Drosophila melanogaster: one gene and its partner. The protein of the gene in region 1 purifies or fractionates together with the protein of each later gene. This does not show direct contact. Each region holds a gene or a part of one and is shown in the gene's direction. Other genes may lie near its edges. The genes, in order: CG12084 and Dlish.

What was found.
Region 2: the proteins of CG12084 (region 1) and Dlish purify together in Drosophila melanogaster (affinity purification with western blotting, with the first as the bait; one study listed by BioGRID). This does not show direct contact.

The regions. Positions count from the first base shown.
Region 1 is NT_037436.4:1,490,576-1,498,566, reverse strand, and holds CG12084 (uncharacterized protein), read left to right. Parts: upstream 1-1,923; 5' UTR 1,924-2,249; intron 2,250-3,447; exon of another isoform or gene 3,448-3,620; 5' UTR 3,621-3,676; coding exon 3,677-3,977; exon of another isoform or gene 3,978-4,068; intron 4,069-4,298; coding exon 4,299-5,238; intron 5,239-5,301; coding exon 5,302-5,473; intron 5,474-5,529; coding exon 5,530-5,691; intron 5,692-5,759; coding exon 5,760-5,921; intron 5,922-6,103; coding exon 6,104-6,583; intron 6,584-6,648; coding exon 6,649-6,813; 3' UTR 6,814-7,197; downstream 7,198-7,991. Other genes in the region: hfp (half pint), read left to right, coding at 1-274, 337-1,354. UniProt on the Drosophila melanogaster protein: Serves as substrate adapter subunit in an E3 ubiquitin ligase complex CG12084-cul-2-elongin BC. Targets substrates bearing N-terminal glycine degrons for proteasomal degradation.
Region 2 is NT_033778.4:17,721,222-17,725,728, forward strand, and holds Dlish (dachs ligand with SH3s), read left to right. Parts: upstream 1-2,087; 5' UTR 2,088-2,218; coding exon 2,219-2,264; intron 2,265-2,550; coding exon 2,551-2,674; intron 2,675-2,734; coding exon 2,735-3,632; 3' UTR 3,633-3,835; downstream 3,836-4,507. Other genes in the region: CG10934 (uncharacterized protein), read left to right, coding at 1,197-1,781; Snx16 (sorting nexin 16), read right to left, coding at 4,161-4,221, 4,281-4,417, 4,478-4,507. UniProt on the Drosophila melanogaster protein: Required for the apical cell cortex localization, total cellular level and full activity of dachs.

The DNA.
Region 1 (7,991 bases):
ACATGCCACAGGCGCAGCAGGTGATCGACGAGGTGCAGGAGGAGGCCAAGAGCTTCAACCGCATCTACGTGGCCTCCATCCATCCCGACCTTTCCGAGGAGGACATCAAGAGCGTCTTCGAGGCCTTTGGCCCGATCCTCTACTGCAAGCTGGCCCAGGGCACTTCCCTTCACACGCACAAGGGCTACGGCTTCATCGAGTACGCCAACAAACAGGCCATGGACGAGGCAATCGCCAGCATGAATCTCTTTGATTTGGGAGGCCAGCTTCTGAGGTGAGTGTGTAGCGCTTAGAAAAGTATGTGCGGAATATCTAATGCATATGCTTTTTTAACAGAGTGGGTCGATCTATTACGCCGCCGAATGCCCTGGCCTGTCCCACAACGAACTCCACGATGCCCACGGCTGCGGCAGTGGCTGCAGCGGCAGCAACGGCAAAGATCCAAGCCCTGGACGCGGTGGCCAGCAATGCGGTTCTTGGTTTGTCGCAGAACACTCCTGTCATGGCAGCTGGAGCAGTGGTCACTAAGGTGGGTGCAATGCCAGTGGTTTCGGCAGCCACATCCGCGGCTGCTCTGCATCCTGCTTTGGCTCAAGCCGCTCCCGCTCTTCTGCCGCCCGGAATATTCCAGGCACCAACTCCGGTGGCTCCCAGTTTGCTTGGGGTTCCTGCTGGCCTGCAACCTCTACAGGCGGTAGTGCCCACTCTTCCGCCGCCCGCCCTTCTGGCCACACCCACCCTGCCCATGACGGTCGGCGGCGTTGGCGTGGGCTTAGTGCCCACTGTGGCCACTCTGGCGGGAGCGGAGGCCAGCAAAGGAGCTGCAGCTGCTGCCGCCCTCTCTGCCGCTGCAAACAATGCCGCTGTCACGGCAGCAAATCTCTCGGAGAACATCAAGAAGGCGCACGAGAAGCAGCAGGAGGAGCTGCAGAAGAAGCTGATGGATGAGGGCGACGTGCAGACGCTGCAGCAGCAGGAGAACATGTCCATCAAGGGCCAGAGCGCGCGGCAGTTGGTAATGCAGCGACTGATGCGGCCGGTGGACTCACGTGTAATCATCCTGCGAAATATGGTCGGACCCGAGGATGTGGACGAGACCCTGCAGGAGGAGATCCAGGAGGAGTGCAGTAAATTCGGCACCGTCAGTCGCGTGATCATCTTCAACGAGAAGCAGACGGAGAACGAGGACGACGACGAGGCGGAGATCATCGTGAAGATCTTCGTGGAGTTCTCGGCAGGAGCGGAGGCCATGCGGGGCAAGGAGGCACTCGACGGCCGGTTCTTCGGCGGTCGGAGAGTGGTGGCCGAGCTCTACGACCAGGGCATCTTCGATCAGGGAGATCTGTCCGGTTAGAAGGGGGAGCTATCCGAATTGCATGCGGCTCCCCGCATTTGTTCTATCATTTTTTACGTAGCACCTAAAACGCAAACGATGCAAGTTTATTTATTACGCCAGTCCGAAAGCCAACGGCACGGCATCCGGATTATACAATACGATTATGATGATTATGATGATTCTGCAACGCAGTGATTTAGTCTTTAAAAAGTATCCCTACAGCGAGGGAAGCAATTGTCGGTTTTCTTCGCATTATCGGAGCAAGAGAACTACAAATTAGAACCCAGGCAAGCACGCCGCCGCCGACTAACAATGTGTACATTTACAATTGATTTATTTCAGCGCTTAACTTACAAAATAAACTATAGTTTCCAATTCAAGTGTCTGTTTTTCTTGCGCGGGCTAATGACATTAAGTAATTGCATATCTTAACTGCAAGCCTTTGCATAACATTTATTCACTAACTTTAGATTTTCAAAAGTCAGGATTTCGGAGTTCCAGAATTTTCGGATTAGCTTTCGAATATGAAAGGATACTTTCGGTATTTTTTAGTGCGAAGTAGTGTTAGGTAGACAGCATTGGGTGTTGGAGCGCATTCGGCATCTGGTCACACTGGCGAGAAGAAAGAAAATAGAAACCAAAATAATGAAGTGATTTCCATACGCAAATCGTAAAATTAGAGAATAACAATTGGAATTTTCTGGCGCTCGAGTGCCGCGTGTAACGGTAAAACGCTGCGCAATCGCGGAAAAATCGCTCGAAGTTCGGAAAATCCGTTGGCAAAACGAACGCAAAGACAGAGCAGCAGTGGCAAAGCAAACGCAAAAGCAAAGACAAACGCAACGACAGAAGCAAAAGCAGCGAGGGATTTTGGAGGCTGCTTTTTTGGGGCGACACTAAAGCAAAATAAAAGGTACAGAAAGCGTGGGGCTCCACGGCCAGTCGGCCAGCAACTCCGAGACTCCGGGTAAAAATATCCGGACAGCTGACTGTCGCTGCTCGCAGTTCCGTGTTATTTTGGTCACTCCGCTTAGTTTTGTTGGCCAGATAAGCCAGACAGGCCGACGCTTTATTAGTGTTTTTGTGCTTTTTTCTTCAATAACTACGCACCCACACAGACACACGCAAGCCATTTGTTTTTTACATGCATGTATGTACCTTTGAGATCCGCGGAACTTGTGCATATACATACACACACGCCACGACATGGACATAACCATCTGCCTGGATGTAACCAGGATCATAGTCCCCGTATTAATACCGCATTCTTCCCAATTAGATGACCCTTGGTTATGTAACAGCAGGGGTACATGACTATCGGAAGCCAAGAGCCGAAAACAGATTAAAACAATGGCACGTGCCTGCGTTGAAAAGTCTGGGCAAGATTGGCCAGTCATCCATGGCAACTCAAGTTCCAAAAGTTAGGAGCTGCAAGGGTTCGACTGCAAGGGCAAGCCCGCTTCCTATACCCAAACAATAATTAGTCGAAAAAGTGCAACATGTAAACACAAACTATACTCGTTAATTAAATTGATTAATTCCTGGCTAGCTTACAAAAGAACTAAAGAAATCGTACATCAAAAAGTATATAATCTAGAATGTCAAGTCATTGCCCATTTATCTTAGTATAATAATACATTGTAAGCTCATTTTATAAACATTGATGTTAAGGGCTCATTTGAAAGTGACAAAATATTTAATTCACTCAATGGAAAACACTTCAATGGCAATCCATGTCTGTAATCTTGAAAAGAAAAGGGCACTTTCATTCATTCATTGATGTGATTCAAAGGTTGAATCACTCATCCGTTCCATCATGACTTGTAATCTCAAATAAGGGGCTATAAAATCATGTATAATCGACAGAGTATTGAGTTTGAGCACCTGGATGGATTAATGGGCCAAAATCAAATTCATTTAAATTAATTGAAAAATCGAACGCATTACATGTGCATGTCTCGTGATTAAAAGTAAAAGCCGGTCTACAATAGTTTTGTATTTTGTGATAGAAAACCCGTGTTTAATTTAATTTTATTATCAGCAATATAAGTTCATTTCTATAATAATCATAATGTGAAGTAGTCATTTCATGACTTGAAATAAATTATCATGTATATTCTCCGATATCGTTTCTGAATTCTGTTTCAACACTTTTTTTATTTCAAAGAACAGTAATTTCAATATTTCACAAAATGATGAAATGATGACCACATACCCAAAAACTAGTTTCACGCTTATTGAAATTTTGTTTAATCATACCTCCCATCGCCTCGTTTCGTTTTAGACAACAGGGCCATTATTGAGGCCCCACTGGCGGAGCACAAGAACTGCGGCCCCAAGATGAGCTGCAAGGTGCGGCTGATGGAGGACGGCTCGCTGGACGAGGAGCCGCTGACCCTCAAGGAGATCGCCTACCAGAAGCTGTGCAACAATCTGGACATCATTAGCAGCCACCGGCCAGATGGCCAGCGCGGCCTCAATCCGGGCATTGTGCTGCCCAACGAGATCTGCGACGGCTTCCTCGAGAACTATCAGCGATTCAATCGCCCGCTGGACGACAGCGTCATCCGCCTCTTCGAGGACACACACCGCACTTCGCTCAAGATCGTCAATCTTCGCAACAGCACCCTAAGCAGTATAGGTGAGCTCTGCCCGCCATCCGTAGTGTTCTCCGCCCACATCCGGTGTTGTTGAGCTCCATTGAATAGTAATTGAACGGAATTTATACTGGAATCTGTCAGACTTTCAAACAGACAAACTTAAATTTAAATATTTGCAACCGCACCTCTAAAAGTTTATACAAAATCAGATGCAAGTTCATTTGAAAAATTACACTTATGTAAATGTGTTACCTTCGAATTGATAGATATCCAATCAACCTTCTATTGCATATTTATTGCTGAACCACATTGACTTGAATAAGTTTAAAACATATTGAAATACTATTTGATACATTTTGCAGGCTTGGAGACTCTGATGCGGCACAAACTGTTCGCTTTGTCCTTGTGGTACTGTGACATGATATCCGTTGGTTCCCACCACCTTCTGGCCCACTACGGCGACAGTCTGCGATCCCTGGAATTGGGCATCAGTTCCCATCTGCTGCAGTACGCGGAGCCCAACGAGAAGGAGCCAGTGGACTTCCAGTTGACTTGTCCGCATCTGCGGCGGCTGGTGCTCAACGGTGTTGTGATGCACCACCGCCTGCAGTTCGCTCACCTCCACGACTTGGGCCACCTGGACCTGACCTCCTGCGTGCTGGCCAACTTCAGCCTTGAGGCATTGGGCTCGCTGCCCAATCTGCACACGCTCATCCTGTTCAATGTGTGGCCCATCGCCAACCAGCTGCATGCGATCTGCTGCCTGAGGCGTCTGTGCACACTGGACATATCCATCTCCAGTTCCGGAAATGGCCACGGCACCTACGACCTGCCCGATCAGACGCTGGAGATGCTGATGGACAACTTGCGACATCTCACACATTTGGATATCTCTGGCACGAATTTGGCCGGCAACGGTGTGGCCACCAAGGAGTCGACAACTACCAGTGGCATGCAGCAGAGCCCCAAAATGGAGCAACACTTTGCCCTCACAGACATCCCGGGGCTAGCGTCCCGCACCCAGCGACCGCTGCAGTTCCTAGGCCTCTATCACACGGCCCACTGGGCCTGCAAAAGACACGATATTCCAGCTTTGGAGGTAGCTGGCGATGCCAACGAGCAGCAAATCCTTACTGCGGCGCGTTATTACCACGACAGACCAGTGCTTCTGACAAGAGTTCTCAACGACTTGTACCATCTCTTCCGCTTCGAGAACTGCAAGGACATACACACAGCACTGGATGTTGTGCTCTCCGCCATGGATCGGCATCTCAAGTTCAAGCACATGCAAATCTCCGGCAGGTGGGTTTATAGCTTTGAAGTTAAGTGAAAATAGTATTTAATTCTAAATTTCATCTTCATTAGTGCCACGCTGTTCTACATTGTCAAGGGCAGGGATCGATCCAAGTTTGGAGCACTACTGCGCAATCACATCATTCGCACGCTGCTCAATGGCATGGAGATGCACATCACCGACGACACCATGCTGCGGAATGGTTACCTCACGCTCACCCAGTTTCACATGCCAGTCGATGTGGTAAGCACCGCCTAATCTAATATTATATTAAGTACAGCTAAATGTCTGGTTTTCAGCTCTTCGAGTACGAGCGTCTCATCAAGATCCTGCTGCACGGCGTTTCTAAGACGGAGCAAGAGGGATTTGTCCAGCGCATAGCAATCTACCTGCTGAACACACTCGCTTGCCAGGTGGATGGGCGACAGAAGCTCTTCCTGGGCGAGTTGGGCGTAGTTAGTGTAAGTGTCTTGCCTATCAACTGTTTGCCGGAACTTATTGTACTTATTGGTGATATTCTTGACTTTAGACCATGTTCACGTTGATAAAGGATCGGCTGACTCGCTCCGTTTTCGACGATGTGATGGAGGTGGCTTGGTCCACCATGTGGAACGTAACCGATGAGACTGCTATTAATTGTAAGAGATTCCTCGATGGACGTGGCATGGAGTATTTCCTTAAGTGTTTACATGTAAGTTCTCCAAAAACTTGCCATTATCCGCAGCGCAACAAAGATAAGATTGGGAACTAAAATATTTAATTTAAGAGCTGCATAGAGAAAGCGAACAAATGTATACTCCTTGGTTTCATGAAGAAATAGGTTAACTTCCTGTATCCAGACTTCTTAAGCTGAACTGTCCTTTTCCAAAACAGACCTTCCCGGATCGTGACGAGCTGTTGCGCAACATGATGGGCCTGCTGGGCAATGTGGCCGAGGTGAAGTGGCTGCGGCCCAAGCTGATGACCCAGGAGTTCATTGAGGTGTTTGCCCGTCTGCTGGACTCCCTGAGCGATGGCATCGAGGTGGGTGGTGCTAGTGCGAGTGTGGTGGCGAGAGTGCGGGAGAGAGAGATGGCCAGTGCTAACCATGCCTACCTGCGCTTCCAGGTCAGCTACAATGCGGCTGGAGTGCTGGCGCACATTGCCTCGGACGGAGCGGATGCCTGGACGATCAAGACGCCCAGCCGGGAGCACGTGCTGGAGCGCATGGTGGCCGCCATTCAGCGGTGGAACATCAAGAGCGAGCGGAACATCAACTACCGCAGCTTTGAGCCGATCCTCAGCCTGGTGCGCTGCTACGAGACGCCCCAGTGCCAACATTGGGCTGTTTGGGCCCTGGCCAATCTGACACAGGTGGGGGAGCAATTCCTTTTCCCATTGTTGGTGCATTGTGTACTAACTTCTGCATTCCGTCACAGGTTTATCCCGAAAAATATTGCAAGCTGGTGGAGCAGGAGAACGGCATCCAGATCCTCAACGAGCTAATCGAGCACGAGAGTCCCTACTGCGAGATCAAGCGCATCGCTCGCCTGGTCATAGAGCAGTGCGACTCCGGATCGGAACGCATGGTCGTCGACGGCTAAGCGGATATTTAGGATAACACGTAGCTTTAGGAGTCGAGTTTGTTGTAATGTTTTTTTTCTGCTTCCTCTGTTTCCCGTTTTAAAGCAAGTGCATGTGTTATGTGGTTCAAGAGATTCTTCCTTGACTTTTATGTTTACAGCGAGAGCAGCAGATACATAGATGCAAGTTTAAACTATGCGAGAGTTAAGCAACTAAATCTAATGATGCAGAAATATTCGATAATTACATAATTACTAGATTATATATGTATATGATGTATCACATGTTGTAAGCCAGCGATCTTTTTAGGCCTTCAGAAGTGTAAATATTGTTAAAACCGGAAAGAGGAAGACATTGGAGTAGCAAGCAAGGCTGCTGGAGATTAAATAAATCCTTAAGAATTGAATTCCCCGTGGATCGATAGTTCTTTCTCTAGCCACATAGACGAGTGTATGGAATCTGTTCTTTGAATTGTGGTCATCATACGATGCTCACTTAACCCCCCCACATTTGCTGTGCTTTCGCATCACGAACCCAAGTAGCTGCAAGTTCAGGATCGGATCGTTCAAAATAATCTAGCTATATAATCTAGACCACTAGGCTAGGCTTAAGCAACTGTAAATATATTGCAAGTAACAGTTTTGAAAGTTCTGCGCTTGGCATTAATATTTATAACAGTGTACGTTACCATTAGTTACCTTACATTACGTATATACATATATATAATTTGATTCGTAAGCGACATCACGCCTGTGTCTTACCAAAGACCCTAGAATAACAAGATGCGTAACGGCCATACATTGGTTTGGCACTATGCAGCCACTTTTTTGGTGACGGCCAAAATTACTCTCTTTCCGCTCACTCCCGCTGAGAGCGTAAGAAATCTAAAAATATAATTTGCTTGCTTGTGTGAGTAAAAACAAGAGACGAGAACGCGTATAAGTGTGCGTGTTGTGCTAGAAGACGATTTTCGGGCCAAAATCAATTCTGATCGAAGAAACGAATTTACATGGTACATATTAGGGTAGTTTTTGCCAATTTCCTAGCAATATGATAAAATAAAAAAATTTTTAAAAATTCGCGCCCTGACTATTATAATTTTAAAGCTTTTTTAAATTTGTTTGTTAAAATCGCCGCTTGAATTAGCTACCGTTTACACATTTATATTTATGTTTAATTCTAATTTGTCTCTCATCTG
Region 2 (4,507 bases), on another chromosome or scaffold:
TTCAAGGTCATTTGCAACAAAAATTTATGCTACAATTTATGCAAGGGCGACTGTTGCATGTTAATTTGAATTTACTTCCGGGCATATATTTTATTAAAATATGCGTGACAACCGAAAATAGCTGACCCACAAAGCCAGTGAGCCACTTTTTCCGCCCCGGAGCTGGCATTCTACCCCATTTTCCGCCTCATTCCTCTTAATTTGGCCCGCTGTCTAGTCTCATTTTTTGGCCATCAGAGGTCCGAGCAACAATTACCCGCAGACACAACAGCCATGATGAGTGTGCTGGGCGAGGAGCACCCACTCGATTCGCCCACCCAACCACCTCCTGCCCCGCCCACTGGCCGCCCCTTTTTGTGAATGGCATCCGAGGAGTGGAGGACTGCGCAGAATCCTCTCTATCGATTAAAGCCCAACGCAGACAGCTCTCTCTAATAAAACTTGGGATAGGGCATGGGGATGGGTTTCTGGGATGTGCGATGTGGGCTGTGGGATGGATGATGTGATGCGGATGTGGAATCAACTGCGTAGTAGTCAAAAGTCAAGTTGAAGGGGGTCTTTTGGGGGTGTGGCACCTGCTGCTGATGCTGCCACGCCACTGCTGCTGGTGGGATAATGTTCGAGATGCTTAATGCGCAATTTAGTTTGGGGTATGTGCACATGGGGATACGACGAAGTGTAGGTCAGTTTGGACACTTTCTCTCTTTGGACCCATCCTCTCTTGCTGAGACTCTTTGTTTCCTTGCCCTTTCCATCGAAATTCTCTCGCTGAATTATAATCGAAAATTGCATGCGAAAGTTTTATCCTTGGCACCAAAATAGTGCATTGGCCCCTCTTTTTTCAATGCTGTCCAATAGCGCAAGTGACGCTCGCTAAGAATGACGAGGTCTCAGTGGGGCAGAGGGTTTTAAATGCACTCTGAATTAAATGTATATATTATGTTTATACTACTAAAAGTATTGCTTAAAAAATCCAGATATCTCTAACCTATTATGTTCTATTACATTACAAAATTCACATATATTTGGACTTTTAGTTACATCACTATAATACAATATAAAGTTTTAAATAGAGCTCAGTAGACTTTGGATATACAGCCATTACTATCTAGTAAAGTAACACCTTCCAAACACAATTCATAGCGCCTGGAGCTAACTCAAATCTATCATTCGTTCACATTTTGTATACGACTAAAATGGTGGTTGTACAGGGAATGTACGAAGTCACGGAGCTGGTGGCTGGCAGCGTGGGATGCGTGTGTCTATACATCGCCGGATGCAATGTGCTGCCCATGGAGCATATTCCCGATCTTCCGTCGGCGCTGTTCGTCCTGACCGCCGTGCTTTTTCTCCATCATCTGAGGGTAATGAATTGCGCACCGCTGCAGAAGCTTTGGCTTTTGCTGCTGGAACTGTTGGTCTTCTATATGTGCACCCAGGTCGTGGTGCTTGTGTGGCTCCAGTTGCTCAGCCATATGAATAAACTGCGGGACAATGCAGTTAATACTCGTACCGGCATGTACCTTTTTGAAGCCTATCCAAAAGTCTTTATGTTTTTGCGCCAAGATGTCTACTATTTGGGGCAGCTTATCATGTCCGTGGCGTGCACCTACAAGGCGATAATGGTCACTCATGCCCTGGACTACGCCCTACCAAATCGCCGGACGTACAGATACTATGAGACAGATGAGAACTTAGGCGATGGTCCGCGGCGTCCTACCCGAAAGAGCAACCAGCGATCAACACCCAAGAAGAGCACCGTGCGTGGTCGCAAAAAATAGAAGCTGTCGCAGAAACTGGATCAATCAAATCGCCCAATCTAAACACAGTTTTTCTATGCTTTCGATCATTGAATTAGCCCACAAAACACGCGTAATAAATTATCAAGGTAAACGGCGGCCCGGGTGCATTGCACCCAAATCGAAGGTGCTGCTCAAGAGCAGTTTACGCTTTACTAGAAATTTGCATGCTTGAAAGAGCAGAGCCAACACGTACACACAAAACCAACTTATTTTCAAATTTTGGCGCCTCGCGACAATCGATTAACGGACAACATCATCAAGATCAGCCAATCGTATGAATTCCACCTCTAACACCAGAGAATATTGAGAAGAAGAAGAGCGTTGTGTCGGATCTAAACAATAAAGAAATTAAGCAATTAGCCGAAATTTTGTTGTTTTTCGGTTGAAGGGGGTTTAATTCCGAGTGGGGGGAAGAGATGGCATTTCTTTGCCCCGTGCGCATGAGGCGCGACAAGAAGAAAGGTGTGTTCATAGAAAGCGGAAGAAGCAGCACGGAAACAAAAGACTTCAATCACGAACTTGTTGTAGGAACTTAAAAAAATTGAAATTGTTTAAATCTGTTTATTGGTGCATTTATTTTGTATATCAATGTACAAGAATTCTTTTTGAATTAAATATTTGTATTCAAGTTTTTTTTCTTGAAACTATATTATGATTGAATGCATAAGATATACATTTTATTTTAAATTTAATTAAATACGACATATATTGTACCTAAATAAGCATTTTCAAAATACTCCCTTTTCAGCTACAAATGCCAGCATTGAGAGGGACTTACCAGCTGTGGGTGTATTGGGCATGGGCCGCATAACTGGTTCCTCCAGCATTGAAACACTTGTAAGAGTGGGCATTGAAAAGGAACACGGTCTAAGGTAAGTCGATCCCATCCATTATCAGTTTAAATAGTCTGTACAATATTAATTCTATTTTAGTCCTGATTCCAAGATGGTTGTGCTGCACGACTTTACTCCTTGCGTGGATGATGAACTAGAGGTGAAGCGTGGACAGCTGGTTAATATCTTGTACAGAGAGAACGATTGGGTCTACGTGATTGGTCAGGACTCTAGGCAGGAGGGTTTCATACCCTTCTCTTATTGTGCTCCCTGCAACACGCAACTGGCGGATTTGGCTGTTAAGAAGAAACTGCCAAGGGAACAGTGTCCAGAGCAGCCGATCGAAGAGAATATACCACTTTTGGGCACGGATAACAAGCTGGATGTTCTTTGCGATGAAACCTTGAATCCTGGCTCCGCCAACAGCATAGAGAACACCCTGCTGGTGGAGCCAGAGTGTACTCCTTTCGTGAAGGAACCCTCCGGGCGCTGTATCGTCTTGTACACCTTTATAGCCAGGGACGAGAATGATTTGTCTGTGGAACGGGGTGAATTTGTTACCGTGCTAAATCGCGAGGATCCCGATTGGTTTTGGATAATGCGCAGTGATGGCCAGGAAGGATTTGTGCCAGCCAGCTTTATTTATCCTGCAGACAGTGTACGAGTTTTGCAGCAACAGAAAGCCACTTTAAATGCCATGGAGACCATTTTGCAGCAGGGTCAACAAGGTCAGCAGAGCCAGCAACAGCAGCAGCCTCAATTGGGCTTGGGAACAGATGATCTACGCTACCATGGCACGGAGCTGGTGATGCTGTATGATTACAAAGCGCAAGCTCCAGACGATCTGTACCTTTCTGTGCGGAGAGGAGATTGGATTTACGCAGACTTAACCAATCAGACTGTTGATGGCTGGCTTTGGGCTTATGCTCCGAAAACCCGCAAATATGGATTCATCCCGAAAGCCTATGCCCGACCACCCGCGATGACCAGCCTTTAAGAAATAGATTCAATACCATAATCGTTTTAATTATCACTTCGACTAACACTAAAGCGTAATATTCGTAAGTCTTCCAAACACAGTCGAATTGCATTTCGAAAAGCGTTTCTTTGTGGCTTGGATATTTTTATCTTGAACACTAAATTAATTTTCAACTCATAAATGCCATTTTCATTGAGTAATAAATTGTGCCTTAGATTTATTTTGTATGTGAGTTTGCATAACATATCGTATACACTTAGTCTAGTGATTTCATTCTTAACTGTAAGTGCCTCGTAAACGAATATCAAAAATATCTACTATCGTATTCCATATAGTACCAGCGTGGGCAGCACTTTGCTAGCATCTAGGTCTAGATATGAATACTAAAGCACTGTAGGGGCCAACCCCTCGATATGCACTTGGTTTGTATTATTGTATTGGATTTGCATCCAAGCGGCGCAGTTGCGTAGAGTTATGCTCAGCATAATGTTGTACGCACACGCACGTCCAACTGGATTTTGGTTATCACCTCCGATTGGCGAAGGTCTACTTTATTCCCAAACTGTCGCTAGCTGAGGAGCAGTGCGAGCAATTAAGCTCCATATTTCTGTAGAGAGAGATTGGCTAATGAGATTTTTGCATTTGTAAAAGAAATTGTTATCCTACTTCATAGCTTCTCTCAGCTGCTCCTTCTCGTTCATCTCCTCGCGCAGTTTCTGCTGCAAACTGAGAATGAGATCGTTTTTATTTCGAATCTGCAGCTTCAGATGCTCAATTGTCTCCTCCTGAGCTTCGAAAATTGCCTAGAAGTAAATGAAATCTTATATAGATTTGATAAATACATGAAAAAGAAATCATCCTACACGACACTCCTCCATGGATTCAGAGTACGA